Drosophila melanogaster: one gene and its partners. The protein of the gene in region 1 interacts with the protein of each later gene in a pairwise test. Each region holds a gene or a part of one and is shown on either strand. Other genes may lie near its edges.

Region 1 (3,899 bases):
GGGCAAATGCGTTAAGTCACTGTCCACTTCCACGTCCAGCTGCTCGATATCCTGCGCGGATCGGGCCAAGCAATTCGTGGCCGACCCCAAGTCCTGCTACGGCTACTATTACTGTGCGGACGAGGAGACGGCCTTGTACGGCACCTGTCCGCAGGAGACGCACTTCAATGCCACCACCCAGATGTGCTCCCGCCAACACGAATCGGATTGCACCACCAGCACCTTCGAGTACTGCAGCATTGTTAAGAACGGCGTAAACTTCGACAATCTGCAGGGCTGCAATATGTATCACGTCTGTGAGAAGGGCGTCCTGAAGGACAAGACATGCTCGAAAACCTATTATCAGGCCAGCACGGGCGAGTGTGTGTCCAAGGCTCTGGTGGACTGCGATGCCCATCCGTTGCCCACGGATGTCTGCGGCAAGGCCAGTAAGCCCTACGAGAACAAGTTCGTCGCGGATGAAGCCACCTGTCGCGGCTACTTCTACTGCGCCAAGCAGAAGGATGGCACCCCGGACCCCAATCCGGTGTGGAACCAGTGTCCCCAGGACAGATTCTTCGATGCGAGCAGCCAGATGTGCATAACCCCCAGTTCGGTCTATTGCTCCCACGATCGTTGCGACGGTCGGACTGCTAGTTTTGTCGTTAGTGCCACCAAGGGCTGTCGCAACTATCTGAGCTGCTCCGACGGGGTAACCGTGAGCGAGAGGTCCTGCGGCAACTACTTCTTCGACGACCAGCAGGGCGCCTGCACTCCAAGTGTCCAGACCTACACCGCGTGCAAGACGTAGGCATGTATTTCCAATAAAGCTCAGAATGCAATGTGATATTTGGTTAAGGAAGTGTTGTAATGAAGTGCACTAGTTTGGATTCTTTCGGGGACTGTGGAACCTGGATTGTCATAGATATAGATACGCGGCTCTCTAGCGAGTTCGTGTTTATGCACAATGACAAGTTTCTGCTGTAAGCCAGTATCTTTGCTGTAACTCGAGGATCGTAGTTGAGATATATTGTTTTTTTACCCGTTTTTATAAGAACGTAGATTGTTTTCGTTGCTCTAATGCTTAAGATTAGCTACCAAAAAGAACAATAATCTTAAACAAGTTCTAGTTCGAAATTCGAATAAATAATATCTGATGGGTGAGTGAAGAACACCTGTATTTTGTTTAATATTCCTGGAACAATTCAGCTGAAAACTAGGTAAATGAACAAATAGAATTTTAAGAATTCACTCAATCATGGAAACTTTTCTTGCAGGTGGTAACGATGGAATAGCATGGCCTCACCGAGGAGACCATAAATGATAATCACTGTCCTATTCGTTGGTTACAATCAATGTTTTCAAAAGTTCTGATTTTCCAAACAAAAACCTATCGAAAGCGACAGTGAAATAGCAAGGCAGTATATTTTAAAAGGTTGTCATATTTACGGCACAATAACTGCTGACCGTTTAATCGCATCAGCGATAAATATATTTATAGTTCAATTAATTAACGGCCAACAGAAGGTTCATTTGACTCGTAACTACCGTGGGTATACCTCATTAACTAGTGGCACTTTCCTTTTCGACTGAAGTTGCCAAAATTTACTATGAAAGTGAGTCGTTAAGGAATCTGCAGTCAGCTGTCTCGATTTCAATCGATTTCAATCACCAATTACGACCTACTTGAAGGGTTTTACCTCCTTTCGCACAACATTGATAAGATTTGCTCATAAGAGAGGCAATAAAGCGCTGGTATCAGCAGAAGCAGTGGCAACGATAATGACTCCTAGTTAATATAAGATTCTTCCATTCACGAAACTCCATTTAGTCGCGCGTAATTGGTTCCCGAGGCCACATCAAACCACTCGATCTATTCTGTTGCAAATTAAACCAAAGTTTCCCAGCAATCAGCCATGCTAAGTGAGTTTTATGAACCCATTAATTTACCGTCATAGATATTTACTTATACACCCTGATTCAGCCTTTATTTTTAGTGAAAAGTAACAGCTTGCATGCGTTTTTAAAGATACAATTAAAATGTAGAATCTAGATATTTTGTTCATTCATATTCATTTTTATAGGTATATCTTTAAAGGTTTTTAAGCATATCTATATGTTTTTCAAAAGGTGTGCTGTATCAATCTAATATCTCGCGATCATATGTATATCATTCGTAGACCTCAAACTTGGAGTGCTTCTCGGATGCGTTCTCTTGTTGGCTACCGTAGCTCTTTCGGCGAGTGTCGGTGAATACGAGGAGCTGTGTCGCCTTTTCAAGAACGGGACCAAGGTTCGCAAGCCCGGCACCTGCGACCAGTACATTCAGTGCTACGATGGCAACGGCACCGTCCTGACCTGCCCCTCCAACCAGTCCTTCAATCCCAGCAAGGGTAGTTGCGTGGACACGTTGGCCAACAGCAACAAGTACTGCGGCAATCGCTGCGAGGGATTGGATGGCGAATGGGTGGCCGATCCGACCGAGTGCCACAAGTACTTCTACTGCATGAACGGCGTACCGCTGGCGGGGATGTGTCCCGTAGGCCAGCACTTCGATGAGCGCTCTCAGTCCTGCCTGTACGGCGTGGACTCCATGTGCGTGGATGTGAACAACATTTGCGAGCTGGTGGCGGAAAATACGAAGTTCCGGAATGAGAAGGACTGCGCCTACTACTATGAGTGTGACAAGACCGGTAACCATGCGTCCAAGAGCTGCACTGTCACCTCCAAGAAGCGCGAGTATTTCGATGTGGAGAGCGGCAATTGCGTGGAAGCCAATAAGGTGGAGTGCACCGCCCATTCGAAGGAGAACGTCTGCACCAGCAGCACAACAATGACATTCAAATCCGACCAAGCCACCTGCCGTGGATACTTCGTATGCAAGGCCCTCTATCCCGTCGCCGACCTGGATCCACTGTGGACGCAGTGCCCCGAGGGCTACTTCTTCGACGAGGATCGGCAGCTCTGCGCCAATCCCACCACAGTGGTGTGCACCCACAACAGATGCGACGGACGCGGCACGATGCTGGTGACCAGCAGCAGCAATAACTGTCACAACTACATCCGGTGTGTGGACAACAAGGAGGTGACGGAGGAAACCTGCCACTGGGATCACTTCTTCGACGAGACAGTGGAAGCGTGCTCCTCCAAGATCATCTACGATAAGTGTTGCGATGGCCGGGACTAAACAAAAAATAAATTTAACTAAAAGTGCAAAGAAAAAGAGGTAGTTGATTTTTATTGGCGATCAATATATCCGTTAAAAGCAAAGACACTAGAAAGGTACACAGGTTAAAAGGGTATACTAGATTCGTTGAGAAGTATGTAACAAGCAGAGGGAAGCGTTTTCGACCATATGGAGTATATATTCTTGATCAGGATCAATATTCCACAAACCACCCAAAACTGTCACGACCACACTTTCGAACAATTTTTAAATTATGGTTTGGTTTTTAATTTCTACTAATATTCAAAAATATCGGGGACTTCGACTATAGCATTTTTTTTTGTTTTTATTTTGTTTTCAAAACAATTATATTTACGATTTGGCTTGAAATTTCAGTTTTTTTGGGTACAATACAAACATATACTATGTGCTTTATGAGCAATCCATTAATAGCACACATTTAAAATTCAGGTAATTGCCCGTATGGTACGCATTAAAATTAGACAACACATTTCTAATCTTTCTAAATTTAGAAATCAATTAGTTTTATCGTTCTGTTGATCAGTTACCAAAATGTAGAACAACATCCACATGAAAATACCAAGATTAATAGTACCGTCTTGTTAACTGTTTCTATTTGTTTATCTACAAAACGTAGTTGAGTTAATTTGCAATAAAACGAGAGCTTATGCTCAGGAAAATAAGAACTTTTTTATATGTATGCGTAGGACAATGGGAAGTAAAAAATAAATCC
Region 2 (3,521 bases), on another chromosome or scaffold:
TTTTTACAAGACTTATTTCTCTATAAGTCCTTCAACTTTTATACTTGAAAACTCTTTGGAAAGAATGCAAGCTCAATTACTTTTTTTTTTGACTATCCTCGAGATCTGCATCTTTGCATGATGGCCAAATATTTTTATTTAATTCTCGTTGCGCGAAAATTCCAACCGAAACCGCAAAAAAAGCGACAAAAATATTTTGCATACACTTGTTTTTGTTTCTATTTTCATTTGTTTTGCGGCATTTTGCGGCGAGAAAACCAAGGAATTTGCATAACAAAGTGAAGTGACGCTTGATGGGGGAGGGGGCATGGAGAAAGGGGAACTAACAGCATACAAAAACAGAGAGACAAAGAGACCGACAGAGAGACAGGATGGCAGACGGAGAGAGCAGTTGTTATTTTTGGCACAGCCAGTGTGATGGGAGGGGAAGCGGGGGAGGAGTTGTTTACTTAGGCCAGGTTAATGCACCGCAGATTAACAACAATTAAGATGCGGGGGAGCGAGAGGGAAGAGGGAGATAGGGAGATGAGCCAGACGGAGATAGCACACGTACCTTTATCGGGAAGGGGACGCAGAGTGGGGGCCTCCTGTTGCTCCTGCCACTGGACCTTCCTGTAGCCGCTGCTGCTGCTGCGACTATTGATGCGCCCGCTGCTGTTGCTGCTGCATCTTTCCACGGCGACCAACAACAACAGCAACAAGATCCATGAATTCGCTGTCGCCGGCATTATGCCGCTGGCCGCTCTCCTCACACACACGCTACCACGCACACACAGACGCGCGCGCGACTCTCCTTGTTGTTGTTCTTCTTCTTGCTCTCCTTCGTGTTGTTTCAGCCTTCCTTTTACACAATAACACAACACTCACACACTCACAAACTCGAACTCACACCAAACACACGTAAACCGGGGGTGGCAAGCAAATCACAAACAGGTAACTTTTTTTTACTTAGATTTCCATTGAAACATGCATTTTGTTTGTTTAATTTTTCGAAACGCTTTACGCGCTCAGAATTCGCTGCACATTAGTACACCGCACTCAATCACTTCAGCATCCCTCATGCCGCGATTTTCTTATCCGCCAAACACAACGGAAAAAAACAAATATTAACTCATTATATTTTGCCGGCTGTTTTCACCGAAGCGGCGTGATTTCCCGTAATTTTTTCTTCGACTTCAGCAGCACGCACGACCGCTCGATTCTATTATATTTCGATCTCTGCTCTGCGAGATTTGCGCGAAGCGACCGAACACCTTCAACTGCGTTTACCGATTGAAGCGCTCCAACCGGTTAAATACTACGCGCAGCTATTGAACAGTATTTTTTACAGCCGCGACTCCGGTCACACCGTCGATGTTTGTGTGATGAAGAAATTTAACAGTGCTGTTAATTGGCCACACAGAAATTGTAAGGCGCTAATTTCAAATTAATTTGATTTATAATCACCTCATTACTTTTAATGGGGATATTTGTTCCAAAAACATGTATAATCCAGTTCTACGTAATCGACGTTGTCGATGGTAAAAACACCACACACAAAACAACACACAACATTACTGTGATGCTTACTGTAATAATTATTTTATAACTCTTTTTAATACTATTATCAATGATTCCCGGATCTCTGGATGGGCGGCGAGGGCATGGCCGTCTGGCGATGCCATAAATATCAACAAGTGCTAATTAAAAATAAAACAGAGGAAGGCCCTTAATAAAAAAAGCTCTGTTAGACAGAGAACGCACTTTTCGTTTTTTAGTCACAAATCGAACGGCCGGCAGTTGTCAAAATATTTTGATTTTTCAAATTTTCCGATAGCTCAATACAAATCCAAAAATACCCACCGAACAGAAAAATTTTTAAGAATTCCATAATTGTCTGTACCCAGAATGCTGCGCCAACTACGGGTAAGCCCTGGAAATGTACCCGAACCGGTTGCATAAGACTGCAATTGAATGCAATTTATGCAGTTTTTCTACATATGTACATTTTCTATTTTTATTTTCGTAACGCCCAGTTGACAATGGATATTTCGGGTTGGATCTTCCTCCCGTGGAGACGCTCCATGTCCAACATGAAGGACTCTCCTCCACCGCCACCACCACTGGCCAGCACTTTCAACGACGTGATTGTGGACTACGAGGACCCGGATTATCTTCCACTGCCGGAGTATCCGGTGCGTCCAAACGAGCCGTTGGAAACTCGCAAGCAACGGTGGGTAAAATTATTAACTATTAATTAATAACTACTACTATAACTATACTTTACTTTATTCTATACTTTACTATACTTACTTTACTTATAAGGAAAATCATTAATTAAAAGAGCTCATATTTAATATATATATTTTCCCTTTGCTCTCATCCACCATTGCCTTAAACACTTCCATTTATGAACTCTACTTTTTTTTAAGAAAGCATGACAACCTCTATTTAGAAAAATTTATACTATTTTAATTTTAAAATGTAGAACAGAAAAATAGGATTTAAACTCCAAGTTTCTTTTTTCTTCATCATCGATCGCACTTCTTAATTTTGCATCAGTTGTACAACCAACTAAGCTATTCTTTCCATAAGTATTTTTTAATATTAACCAGAAAAACACTTCACCTCCAGGCTTTTGTACCAATCGCGCAAGCGCGGAATGCTGGAGAACGATCTTCTGCTGAGCACCTTTGCGGCCAAGCATCTCCAGAACTTCAGCGCCGAGCAGACGGCGCAGTACGACCAGTTGATCAACGGGGTCAGCAACGACTGGGATATCTATTACTGGGCCACCGAGGTGAAGCCCACGCCCAAGGAGTACGACACGGAGATCATGGGGCTGTTGAAGGAGCACGTCAAGAACGCCGAACGGGTCACGCGACTCCGCCAGCCGGATCTGAATATTTAGGCATGCACCTGGTGCTTATGAATATGATTAGTTAGAAGTTTATATGATCCAGGAGATCATATCCTTACCACAATAACCAAAGCGCAAATATGTATGTTTAGAATACCAAATATAATCAATATTTAAAGTTCTGGAAGTGAACAACCTAAACTAGCACCGCTCGAACACCTTGTACAGAGTGGGCAGGTTAGTGAGCTCGTAGATCTGATCCTTGATGCGTGGTGGTGGCAGAAGATATTTTTTAAAGGCAGGAAATAGAACGTGTTCCATTGTCCATCTGGAAAAGCCCGCAGTCGCACCTTCCCGCCAATCCAATTGCGCGTAAAATCGAGCAGTTTCCCTACAGAATGTCTCGAAGCATCGTGTCTCCTGCTCCCAGTCCACTTCGGTGGCCAAGCGGAGCAGGTAAACAGGCAGGTGGGCCACACAAGGTCGATGCTGGTGCAGCAAACTGGGCAGAGATTCGAGCATTCCATCCTCCGAGATGCGCAGCCCGAAATACTCTCTCATGATGGGCGCCTTTTTCAGAAGAATGTCCGCAGCACCGTCCGCCAGCTCAGCCTTATCCCCGTCTTCGGGCGTCCAGCCGGCGGCTTCGCTTTCCAGCGACAAGATTAGCAGCTCCTTGAGA
Region 3 (5,459 bases), on another chromosome or scaffold:
ACTTCTACGAGGAGATGAATGGTGAGCTCAAGGCGGAGAACTTCTTGACCGGCTTGGACTACGCCCCGGAGCATCTGTGCGATGCTATTCTCACGGCAGCAGTGGGCCATCACCAGCACAATATGCAGCACCAGAAGGATCCGCAATCGCATGCAGGGCAACAGCAGCAGCAGGATCATCACACCAACGATGGCGAAACCAATGATGCTCCTGGATCAAGCAATGGTGGCTCATATCAGGGACACCCAGTATCCCAGTTGCAGGCGCACAATGGCAGCGGTGGAGGAGGCGAGCATAGCGGCGGTGGTCAATCCCACTCCGGAATGCTCCAGCACCCTGCTTTTCACGGTGGCTTGCATCCACACCTGTTGAGGCGCCAGCATGGAAGTGGATCACTATCCAGAGAGTCGCCATTTGAGGAGAAGCTTCTGCAGTTCATGCAGGATGCATTTCCAAAAAAGAGCAAGAAGCGCAAGAACCGGGATCCCGACAAGCTGTTCCTCTTATCCCTGTACGAAGAGATCAAGAGAGTTCCGGAGGAGATACGCCTTGATGTAAAGTCCGAACTAATGCAGATACTGAAGAAGTATCAGAAGAAGTCGCCTGTCAAAGCGGAGAAGCCCGCGCCCTCCTCTACGTCAACCTCCTCAAAACTCAGCTCTAGCAGCAGTGGCAGTAGCACGGTGACTACTCACTTGTCCCACAGCATGTACCAGTTGCAAAAGAAATACGAAAAGGGCGAGCGTGAACCATCGCCTCAATCACAGGTAGAGCGAGTAGCATCTGCAGGCGCAGTTGCTGTGCCCATTCATACCTCCCAGCAGCTGCCTCTTTTCCAACTTCAGAAGAAGTACGAGGAGAACAGCGTGGAGAAGGTTCATCAGCAGCAACAGCAACAGCAAAGCGAGCAACGCAAGCATGTGGAGGCCGCTCAGGCCCTTCATGCTGCCCACCAGCAACCGCCTCCACCGCCACCCAATGAGCACCTGCACCACCCCCAGATGGCCCACAACATCATGTTTCCGCTGGGACAGCTTCGCAACGAGCAGCCGACCGCACAGCAACACCAGCATGGCCACAATCCCCACCAGCAACAGCAACAGCATCCCCACCAGCAGCAGCAACAGGGACAGCAACACCATCCGCCAACGATCTTCGGATCGACCGCCAGCGAACGGCCTCCAATGTCCTACGAAAATGTCGGATGAGTCCTGAGCCGTCTGTGGGAAGCCACTTGTGGAGCACCACGCCCTGCGACGGTGTCCCCCACGACGGCAGACGCGCACAGCTGTTAGCCCTCGATTTAGACGGCAATTCGTAGGTCTCATTCTTATGCTAGCCTATACCTAAGTACACATTGCTCACTACACTACTACAGTCAAAAATGGTGCAGTCAATGAGGAAGATACTCCTGATGTATGCCATTTTGTAGTAAGTGGATGCCGTGATCCTCATGTAAATGTTCCCGTGGCAATAACAGCGTAGCTCAACTGTGACTCAAGTTCTCAATAGATCGCGACGCATACATTTTTTCGGTGTAAATACAAATATAATTGAATCTTAAAAACTGTGGATGTTTTTTAGTTCAAGTAAAATGATTGATCCCCAACTTCTGGCAAGAGCTCCCTATTCCCAGGTTTTTGTTTTTCTGGCCAAATCGGAGAAGTCATTGGCTTAGCTCTGAGGTGGAATCCACAATCTTGTTTGTTTGGACTTTGAAAAGCTGTAAATCCGGCAAGCGGTCCGTCGTTAAGCTGTCTTCAGGAATATCTAGTCTTCATCTCTCGTAACGCGATAACGAAACCCACAGGGAGCACGCCATATCATAAAGATAGTCAAACAGCTGACTGATCCGGTCTGCCTAAGTGCGAATTTCAACTGAGCGCTGCCGATCGCCGAACTCGTCGTTGTCTGTCGCATGTTGGGCAGGTTGATGAGCGATCACGAGCCGAGCTGCAGCATAGTCCGCCAGATCTGCGGCGCTTATCAGTGGCGTCCGGCTGGGATAAAGAGATACAGATACAGATACAGGCGGATCGACTGGAGGCAGACTGGGTCTGGCATTCTTTTCCGGCAGCTGCCAGCAGCAGTTGATCGTCAGCGATCGAATCACAGGGATTGGCGGCAGCTCCTGCAGATGCAGAGTTCAAATTTCCAGTGAAGTTCTCAACCAGTCAATCCATTCACCATGGGCCAAGGTACGAGAATGATCTGAAATTCGTGTCTTACCTCGAAACTCGAAGTCGAAGATCTTGTTTAAGACCTCCAAATGAAGAACAACCACAAGTTGGGAGCTCGCATTTCATGTACTCTACTTTGATCTTTTTAGTCGAGGCGCGCACTGTGCTGTGGTACATGACATTCATCGGTTTCATCGTGAACTACATGATCCGGATCAATCTGAACATTACCATTGTGGACATGATTGCCGGGAAGGGTGCTATTACCTCAAATGAAACCCACGAGAACTCTACGGACTTGGCTGCCCTTGCGGAAATGAATGAACGATTTTCGCTGGAGCGTTGGTTTTTGGACTGGGCGAATGTGAGTATCAGATCGCTGAATCACTGGTTAAGTGCTTAATGAAAGCCACAAAGTGACGGAGCTTGTGCAACAACGGGGCGTATGAGTAACGTGTGTGTGCACTATATCTTTGGCAGATTCCGTACGAAAAGAATGGATTTCACTGGAACGAGAAGCAGCAGGGCGCTCTGTTGGGATCATTTTTCTGGGCCCACTGGACACTGCAGATTCCCGGCGGCATCTTGGCCACCAAATATGGTACTAAACTGGTGTTTGGTTGGTCCAATGGCATCGGTGTGTTCTGCTGTTTCCTTATACCAATCGTATCGTACTGGAGCTACACGGGCTTGATTATCCTGCGAGTATTCCAGGGGTGGATAACGGTAAGGGATCGTTGAGCAGATTTTGATGGAAAGTTTAAATCTTTAATTTTAAAGGGCTTGGCCTGGCCATCGATGCACGTGCTCACTGCCAAATGGATTCCGCCCAACGAGCGCAGCAAGTTTGTCAGTGCTTACTTGGGCAGTTCTGTGGGCGTGGCCCTGTTCTATCCGATCTTCGGCTACATCATCGATTGGACACGGTGGGAGTGGGTCTACTATATCTGCGGAATCGTGGGCACTCTCTGGTTCATCGCCTGGCAGTTCCTTGTGTTCGATAGTCCCGCTGAGCATCCCCGCATCGCTGACTCGGAGAGAAAGTTCATCGAGAAGTCCTTGGGTGCCTCCATTCAGGGCAGCAAGGGACCCACACCCTGGAAGGCGATTGCCACCTCTCGTCCCGTTTGGCTGAATGTGGTCGCCCAATGGGGTGGCATCTGGGGTCTCTTCACTTTGATGACCCATGCGCCGACTTACTTCAGACTGATTCACCACTGGAACATTCGAGCGGTAAGTGTTTAATAGATTTTGTAGGTCAAGAGTATTACACATTGCCTGCTCCTTTTCAGACTGGCTTCCTGTCCGGACTGCCGCATCTTATGAGAATGCTCTTCGCCTACGTCTTCTCCATATTCGCCGACTATCTTCTGCGCACGGATAAGATGAGTCGCACAAATGTCCGCAAGTTGGCCACATTCATTTGTGAGTATTACTTCTGATTGTTTAGATATTTTGTACAGCCTTAATAGCATTTAAACTCTTTTTTGTTCTAGGCTGTGGCACTAAAGGCTTAATCGTATTAGCACTAGCTTACTTTGGCTACAACGCGACGGCTGCCATCGTGTTGGTCACAGTGGCCACCATGCTTCACGGCGCCGTGTCCTCGGGTCCCTTGGCCTCCATGGTCGATCTGTCGCCAAACTATGCGGGCATTGTCCTGGGCGTGAGTGGAATGATTGGTGGAATGCCGGGCTTCATATCGCCCTTCATCGTGGGCCAACTTACTCACAATAATGTAAGTTGTATTTTTGCCTTTGAAAGGAGTTATTTATTCCATGTATAATAATCCCTTTTTAAAGCAAACCATTGATGCCTGGAAGAATGTGTTCCTGCTCACCTCGTTGATGTTAACAGGCAGTGGCATCTTGTATGTGCTTTTCTCGGAATCCAAATTGCAGCCATGGAACAGTGGCTGTCACCAGTTGCCTGATTCCGGGCTAAAGGAACTTCAGAATCTGGGACGCGATCAGGACGATGAGGAGGAGAAGAAGCCTCTTAAATCTGACCATGATAAGGAAACCCCTATAGTCGCTGAACAGGAGACCAAAACAAAATCTGATTGCGATGAAAAGTGACATGTGTGGTCGCACTCTGTTTAATTGTCATAATATCGTGTAGATTATGGCAACGAACAACGTCTGATAAGGCTTATCGTCATTTTGTGTAAATAACTACCCGTGAATCCACTGAGTTTAGCATCTTTAACCTCTATATTTAAGTGAGTTGCTAACTATACCATAGGATTAGTTCCCTGTTCTCCCCCAAGATTACCTTCTTATACATATAAATACAAATGTATATGATTTATTACCAGCTTTTGTTTATTATTTAAACAACACTTTCGGCGTAAAAGTCACTTCATGTCGGCATGGCGTTAATCAAATAAAATGTTTTATGTTTACGGAAGCTAAAAATGCTTTGCTGCTGTCTGGGAAAGTTTTTGCTTAAGCCAGGTGATTCAACTAATCCCGACTAAGATAATTTTTTTCAGAAGGTCAAAAGGGATTTTTTAATATCTCAGCATATTTATTTGCAGTTATTAAAAATAATGTTAATTAAATATTTGAGTGTGACGCCACGCGAGTACTTTTCTTTAACGTAAAACATTATAATTCGCTTTATTTTTAGACATTGCTATGTATTCTTTAATTTTCGTATTAATACTACTCCCTAAGAAAATATTAACATCCAAAATTAAGCTAATTAAAGAATTTAAAATTTTGAATTAAATTATGTTATGTATTTAATCACAGTCTACAAAGTATTAGCTTTTCTTTTAAGCTATATTTACGGGGCTTAAGGTACTATTATTAGTTTTTTCACGGACTCAGATATCAGATATCTACGTCAACGAGGCAGTAAAACGATTTTACAACTAAATAACACTGCCATAAACTATATACACATTTTTTCTTAATTTATAACCGAGAGCGGAAAGACTTCCTTCTAAATTAAGTTCACAAAAGTTGAACGACAATTGTTATACTATTTTATTTTACAGAATTAAATTTGTATGGCGTTCTTAATTTTTCAAACTTGATAGCAATCTTGGGATATTTTATTAACCCAACGACGTAATGAGAACCCCATATTACAGCAAAATAAATGATTTGCCAAACCGAAGTTAATAATTGCAATTTAAATCAAAACTGATTGAACCGGAAAATCGTTTTCCCTTTTTGGGCTGCCGTTTCTCTCTCATTACTCATACCACGCGTTGCACAATTGGAAGTTCGGAAGGAGATGGGAATTGAATTGAGAAAAGGATGGCTGGCG
Region 4 (5,482 bases), 4.7 Mb from region 1:
AATGCAATCAGGATGAAGGTGAAAATGATTAGTCGCAATCCGGATAACTATGTCCGAGAAACCAAACTGCAACAGCACAAAAGTAAGTTCATATACGAAGAAAGACCAAAGTATTATAAGAATGCCACTTTCAGTGCCCAGGAACTACGATCCTTCGCTGCATCCTTTGGAGGGTCCCAGGGAATACGTGCGTGCCCTGAATGCCACCAAGTTGGATCGAGTATTTGCCAAACCCTTCGTCTGCAATTTGAGCGGGCATCGCGATGGAGTCTCCTGCTTCGGAAAGCATCCCAAGCAACTTTCCACCTTGGCCACCGGCGCCTATGACGGCGAAGTGCGCATTTGGGACTTGGCGAATCGTATCAGCTCTCGGAACTTTGTGGCCCACGACGGTTTCGTTCGCGGCATTGCTTACACCCAGAACGGAGGTCGCATTTTCACCGTGGGAGATGATAAAACCATCAAGGTTTGGAAAGCAGAGGCTCCGGAAGTCGGCGAGGATGAGGTGCCGGTGAACACTATACTGAGTAAATTTGGACTGCACGGCATCTCGCACAATCGCAGGGATAACAAGTTCGCCACCTGTGGCGAGGTATGCGCCATTTGGGACGAAAGGCACAACGATCCTTTGAAGACATTGAAGTGGGGCGTCGATACCCTTCACACCATATCCTATAACCCCGTGGAAACAAGCATCCTGGCGTGCTGTGCCAGCGATCGCAGCATTATCCTGTACGATCAGAGAGAGGCGCAGCCACTAAGGAAGGTCGTCCTAACCATGAAGAGCAACAAGCTCGCGTGGAATCCCATGGAGGCGTTCAACTTCACAGTGGCCAACGAGGATTGCAAGTGAGTAAAACGGCCATACGAAGAGGATGTGTTGCTAAAATCTTTATTTCTTACAGCCTTTATACCTTTGACACTCGCAAGCTGCAAACGCCGCTGAAGGTTCACTTTGACCATGTTTCCGCTGTCACCGATGTTGACTACTCGCCCACTGGCAAGGAATTCGTCTCGGCCAGCTACGACAAGACCATTCGGATCTACAATGCCCACCACAGTCACTCGCGGGATATTTACCACACAAAACGCATGCAGCATGTGGTCTGCGTGGCCTGGTCCCTCGATAATCGATACGTTTTCTCCGGCTCCGACGAAATGAACGTCCGCATGTGGAAGGCGAATGCCTCCGAAAAGCTGGGCGTCATCCGTCCACGTGAGCGCGTCAATTTCAATTACCAGGAGGCGCTGAAGCAAAAGTATGCCGCTCATCCGCAGATCAAGCGCATCGCGCGCCATCGCCAGGTGCCGCGTCACGTGCTCAATGCACAGAAGAAGATGCGCACGGTCAAGGAGAAGGAGCAGGTCAAGGAGGCCAATGTGCGCAAGCACACCAAGAAGAGCAAGAAGGTGCCCTACGTCAGCGAGAAAAAGAAGCATGTGCTGAAGGAGGAGGTGTGAGGATGATTGCTAACGACTGTAGTTGGATAAGTTTGAATAAAATTGATTTTTGTAAGGAGACTATGTATGTATATATTAAGAAGCCTAATCTCAATTGAGTTTCTCACTTTCTATCATTGTTCTCAAGTGACTTTCAGTTTGGTCAAGTCAAACCGAAGTTATCAGTGAATTTGCTTAGTTTAAACTATTGTTTGGCTTTAATTCAGTGATACTAGAAGAAAGAAGATGTTGATAAGTTCTAAGGAATACTCTCCTGTTGCTCTAGAGAGAAAACTCATTTGCTTTGCCATGCAGCAACGTTTCGCGGAAATTTGAAATTCAATTCGTATCCGATAAGCCCTCGCGGGCGATAACGTTTGGGGAAAATCGGAGAGACGCGTCCATTTCTAGGGGATTCTCGATTATAAAAGGTTGCCAGCCCCACCGTTGGTGCTCAGTATTTGTTCGTTTGTTGTTACGGCAGCCGCCAGTCGGTCGTTAGTTTTTGTTTTCGTTCATTTGTTTATACTCGCGCGGCACTCGGCCCCCCTCCCGTTCCCACATAACCCGTTTGAAAGGCATCAACTGAGAGTCATTGAAATCATGGAGGCACTGGGGGATCTCTTGGCGCCACACAGCGAACTAATCGCCAAGGTAGCCGGCACCATAACTACCCTGCAATTTCTGTCCGGAGTGGTTCTGATGAACGACATCCGCAAGAAGGGTAGCAGCGACGTCTACCCGGTGGGCCCATTTCTCTTCGGAGTGGTGCTGTAAGTAACCTAATTGGGATTCCGTGATGCTCCACTGCATGCGACATCGAAAAAAAAACTAGTGGGCAGGGGGCAGGAAAAGCGAGTGAAAAGAACAAAAGCCAACGCATCTGTGTGGGAATTGATTAAATTTTAGAACTGTCGCCATGACAGCACAGAATCGAGTCTCTTCAAGGCCGCCAGTGAATCGGTTTTGCACACAATTCAAGAAGATAACAATGGAATCGATTACATCACTGCGTTGGCCAAATGGGAATTACACTTCGATCATCCGCGACCGTTACATTTCGAAATCGTTAACCTTGTCGAAAATCCGCCAGCAGCACTTTTGCCGCCTTATCGATGCGAGAACCCTCCAAACACGTAGCTCTTATCTAGAGTGTATAATTTTAGAGCTCCTCTATTACGAATGCTGATCCGGTAGAGTCTGTCCAAATCTGGGAGAGCCGCTAATCGTTTATACGACGGGCGAAAGATACGCGACTCGCCCTCTCCACGTGCTCGGCATAAAGCGGGGCTGCCCAGATTCCAAAGGGGGTGGGCCACCCAGTGGTGGTGATGGGAATATCTTGTCATCTATAAATATAATCTTCTCTAATTATAGCCGTAAGGCTTGTCCATTACTGCATATGAATAATAGTGTTTGCTTAGCAAAACATAATATTTTTTTAACTATAGTTTCCGTAATAATACATTTCTTTAAACAATTCCAAATTCCTGCTGGCTAAAGCACTAAATGTAGATGAACTCTCGAGGAATTTACCTTTTTATTTTTAAATCGTAAACTTTCCACTGTTTGTTTTGAACATCTCAAAAGATCATAAAGTGCCATATGGCAGCAAGTGAATGAGTACCATCAAGTGAGTGTGCCATCACTGCGCCGGGGCTTACTTGGGGGTGGTTTTCCGGAAGGTGTTAACTTGGACTGTGTCAAGTGTAAGGACCCGCAGACATGCAAGCGAAGCAACAGTTGTATGCTAAACGAATTCCACTCCACCCAATGGGCGCTCGAGGTCTCGGTCAAGGGCAGGTTCCTCGGCCAGTTTGCATTTCATTTCGCCCAGCCCGGGTGTATTTCACCATTGTTGTGGGTTTGTTTATAGGTTGATCGATGATAATGCTGATTATTTGTTGAGCGTTGAGCTCCTTATCAAATGCTACGTGTACCATGATTTGCACGCCGGCCCTATTATGCTTATTTATCTATCTCCACCTAGTATAGAATCTGATAACGCAATTAATAAGTGTAAACTGGTTTTTTTTTTCAATGAAGTGGTAGACTGGAGCACTTTAAATGAAAACTAGTTCCATTTCTCTTGATTCGAACTTTCTGTAGCGACTTACTGCTGGAAAACTGGTTCGGGCAGGGTCAATTAATTTGAATTAATTATAATATCCTCAGAAAACTATGCTCTTATCTACAAGTTAACTGGAATTTATAAAATTTCCAGCCTTATATTGAAGAATATTTTAAAATGAATATGAATGGTAACAGTATTACATTTTTGTTTAAATATAAAAACCAAATTTTGTCCTAAATTAAAGTAACTAATTAACAAATTGTTGAACTTTCTAGGACCGTTCTCAGCTTGAAGCTGGCCAACATTATGAATGATGCTGCCATGATCAATACGAATTTAATCGGCCTGGTGATAAACTTCGTCTTCCTCTTCGGATTTTACTACTACGCCTCGAGCGCCAGCAGGAGCAAGATCTGGAAGCAGATTGGCTATTCCTCGGTGTTCCTATTGGCCATCACCGCGTATGCCAACTTCGAGGATCCCGCCAAGATTGAGTTCCGCCTGGGAATGCTGATCACCGGCATCCTGGTTTGGATGGTGGGCTCTCCCCTGCTGCATCTGCCGAAAATCATTGAGAAGAAGAGCACCGAGGGAATGCCGTTCCCGATTATCTTTGCCGGTAATCTGGTGGCATTTTCCTGGACGCTGTATGCCATCTCCATCAAGAATACTGTGATGGTGGTAAGTTAGCAATTAATTCTATTAAACGAGAATGTAAATTTGAACCGAAAATTCTTCTATTTCAGCTGCAGAACCTTTTGCTGCTGGTCCTGGGCGGCATTCAGCTCTCCATGTTCGCTATTTATCCCAACAAACCGGCTGCCGAGAAGCCCAAGGACAGCAAGAAGGACAAATAATTGAAATCGAACGCTTTACCTAGAAAAAAGGACAAATAATGGGTTGTTGCAACAACATTACCAAGTAATAAGTAGCTAGGCTTTGAGGAATAATCAAATTATTGCTTGAATTTACACTAAACCGCCACAAGAAAACTAAATTTGAGCTAAACGAATTATTTTTCTATATAGGAAATATTTTCTTAGAACAAATCCAGCTAACTAAGTTGCTAGCTAACCTAGAATTGTTATTATATTGACTATTATTGTATATAACTACTACATACTTGCAATTTTTGACAATAATTCAAATCTTCCAAATGCATACGTATTTATAAAGTCAACATAATATGTAATAAAACAATCTGTTACAAAATCGAGTGAGTTGATGGTAAATGCCATTGGGCATTTCCCGTTTAGGCTGCTGGCACCGTGGAATTGTAGTGGGCACCCAATTGGTATATGTGGCGGTGGTAGCAGATGATCAGCGGTGATCCACCGAATTCCTCTTGCCCCAGGAGCGTCGGTGCTCCTTCCGCTTGGATAACTTCAATGGGCACCCGGAGTAGCGATGAGATGGCCTTCAGTTCTATGTGGCCACCCCAAGCGTGAGTTTTTGCTATGTCGTGGCAGTATTGTTCGAATTGTTGGTCGTTCAGAATGTCTCCTGTTTCCGGGTGGATCATGTATGAGATAAGCGAGTCCTTGTGAGCACGCACATAATTGGCAGTTTCCTCCCGCAACTCCTGAACACTGTGACCTTTGGTGCAATTATTATGGATTAGTTTTGGTGCTGTGTGGACTGAATCGTGAAGCATTACCTGGAAGAGCATTTACGATAAGTTGGTGTCTGATGGACTGATATAAGCAGTCGCCATCGGAGGGTATATTGTGAAGGGATAATTGGCGTTGGGATAGCTTTGCTGTAATCTGCTGCAGTTCGATTAACTTGGGCGTTGGCTGATTGGCAGCATTTTGCAGCTCCGTCTTGATCTCTGCCTCTCGTGCACGTGCCTCCTTTGCCTTCTTGTCCCGGCGTTTCTGTGCCTTGGAAACACGCTGATTGGGCGCCAGCTGTTCCTCTTTTTCCTCGATTCCATCATCGTCTGTCACTTCAGTTTCTGGCTTTTCC

What was found.
Region 2: the proteins of CG17147 (region 1) and CG14757 interact in a two-hybrid assay, tested with the Drosophila melanogaster proteins (one large-scale study listed by BioGRID).
Region 3: the proteins of CG17147 (region 1) and NaPi-T interact in a two-hybrid assay, tested with the Drosophila melanogaster proteins (one large-scale study listed by BioGRID).
Region 4: the proteins of CG17147 (region 1) and CG7272 interact in a two-hybrid assay, tested with the Drosophila melanogaster proteins (one large-scale study listed by BioGRID).

Annotation. Positions count from the first base shown.
Region 1 is NT_037436.4:20,222,128-20,226,026, forward strand, and holds CG17147 (uncharacterized protein), read left to right. Parts: upstream 1-1,804; 5' UTR 1,805-1,895; coding exon 1,896-1,902; intron 1,903-2,159; coding exon 2,160-3,166; 3' UTR 3,167-3,197; downstream 3,198-3,899. Other genes in the region: CG17145 (uncharacterized protein), read left to right, coding at 1-790.
Region 2 is NT_033778.4:8,171,864-8,175,384, reverse strand, and holds CG14757 (uncharacterized protein), read left to right. Parts: upstream 1-1,771; 5' UTR 1,772-1,887; coding exon 1,888-1,905; intron 1,906-2,015; coding exon 2,016-2,212; intron 2,213-2,613; coding exon 2,614-2,890; 3' UTR 2,891-3,021; downstream 3,022-3,521. Other genes in the region: LRP1 (LDL receptor protein 1), read right to left, coding at 554-728; Mlh1, read right to left, coding at 3,041-3,521.
Region 3 is NT_033778.4:14,842,167-14,847,625, reverse strand, and holds NaPi-T (Na[+]-dependent inorganic phosphate cotransporter), read left to right. Parts: upstream 1-1,751; 5' UTR 1,752-2,188; coding exon 2,189-2,198; intron 2,199-2,329; coding exon 2,330-2,544; intron 2,545-2,660; coding exon 2,661-2,906; intron 2,907-2,960; coding exon 2,961-3,413; intron 3,414-3,472; coding exon 3,473-3,605; intron 3,606-3,676; coding exon 3,677-3,918; intron 3,919-3,982; coding exon 3,983-4,258; 3' UTR 4,259-4,906; downstream 4,907-5,459. Other genes in the region: CG10209 (uncharacterized protein), read left to right, coding at 1-1,208.
Region 4 is NT_037436.4:15,499,048-15,504,529, forward strand, and holds CG7272 (uncharacterized protein), read left to right. Parts: upstream 1-1,890; 5' UTR 1,891-2,043; coding exon 2,044-2,213; intron 2,214-3,789; coding exon 3,790-4,195; intron 4,196-4,260; coding exon 4,261-4,371; 3' UTR 4,372-4,722; downstream 4,723-5,482. Other genes in the region: CG7275 (uncharacterized protein), read left to right, coding at 13-82, 135-849, 906-1,461; CG7857 (uncharacterized protein), read right to left, coding at 4,767-5,110, 5,172-5,482.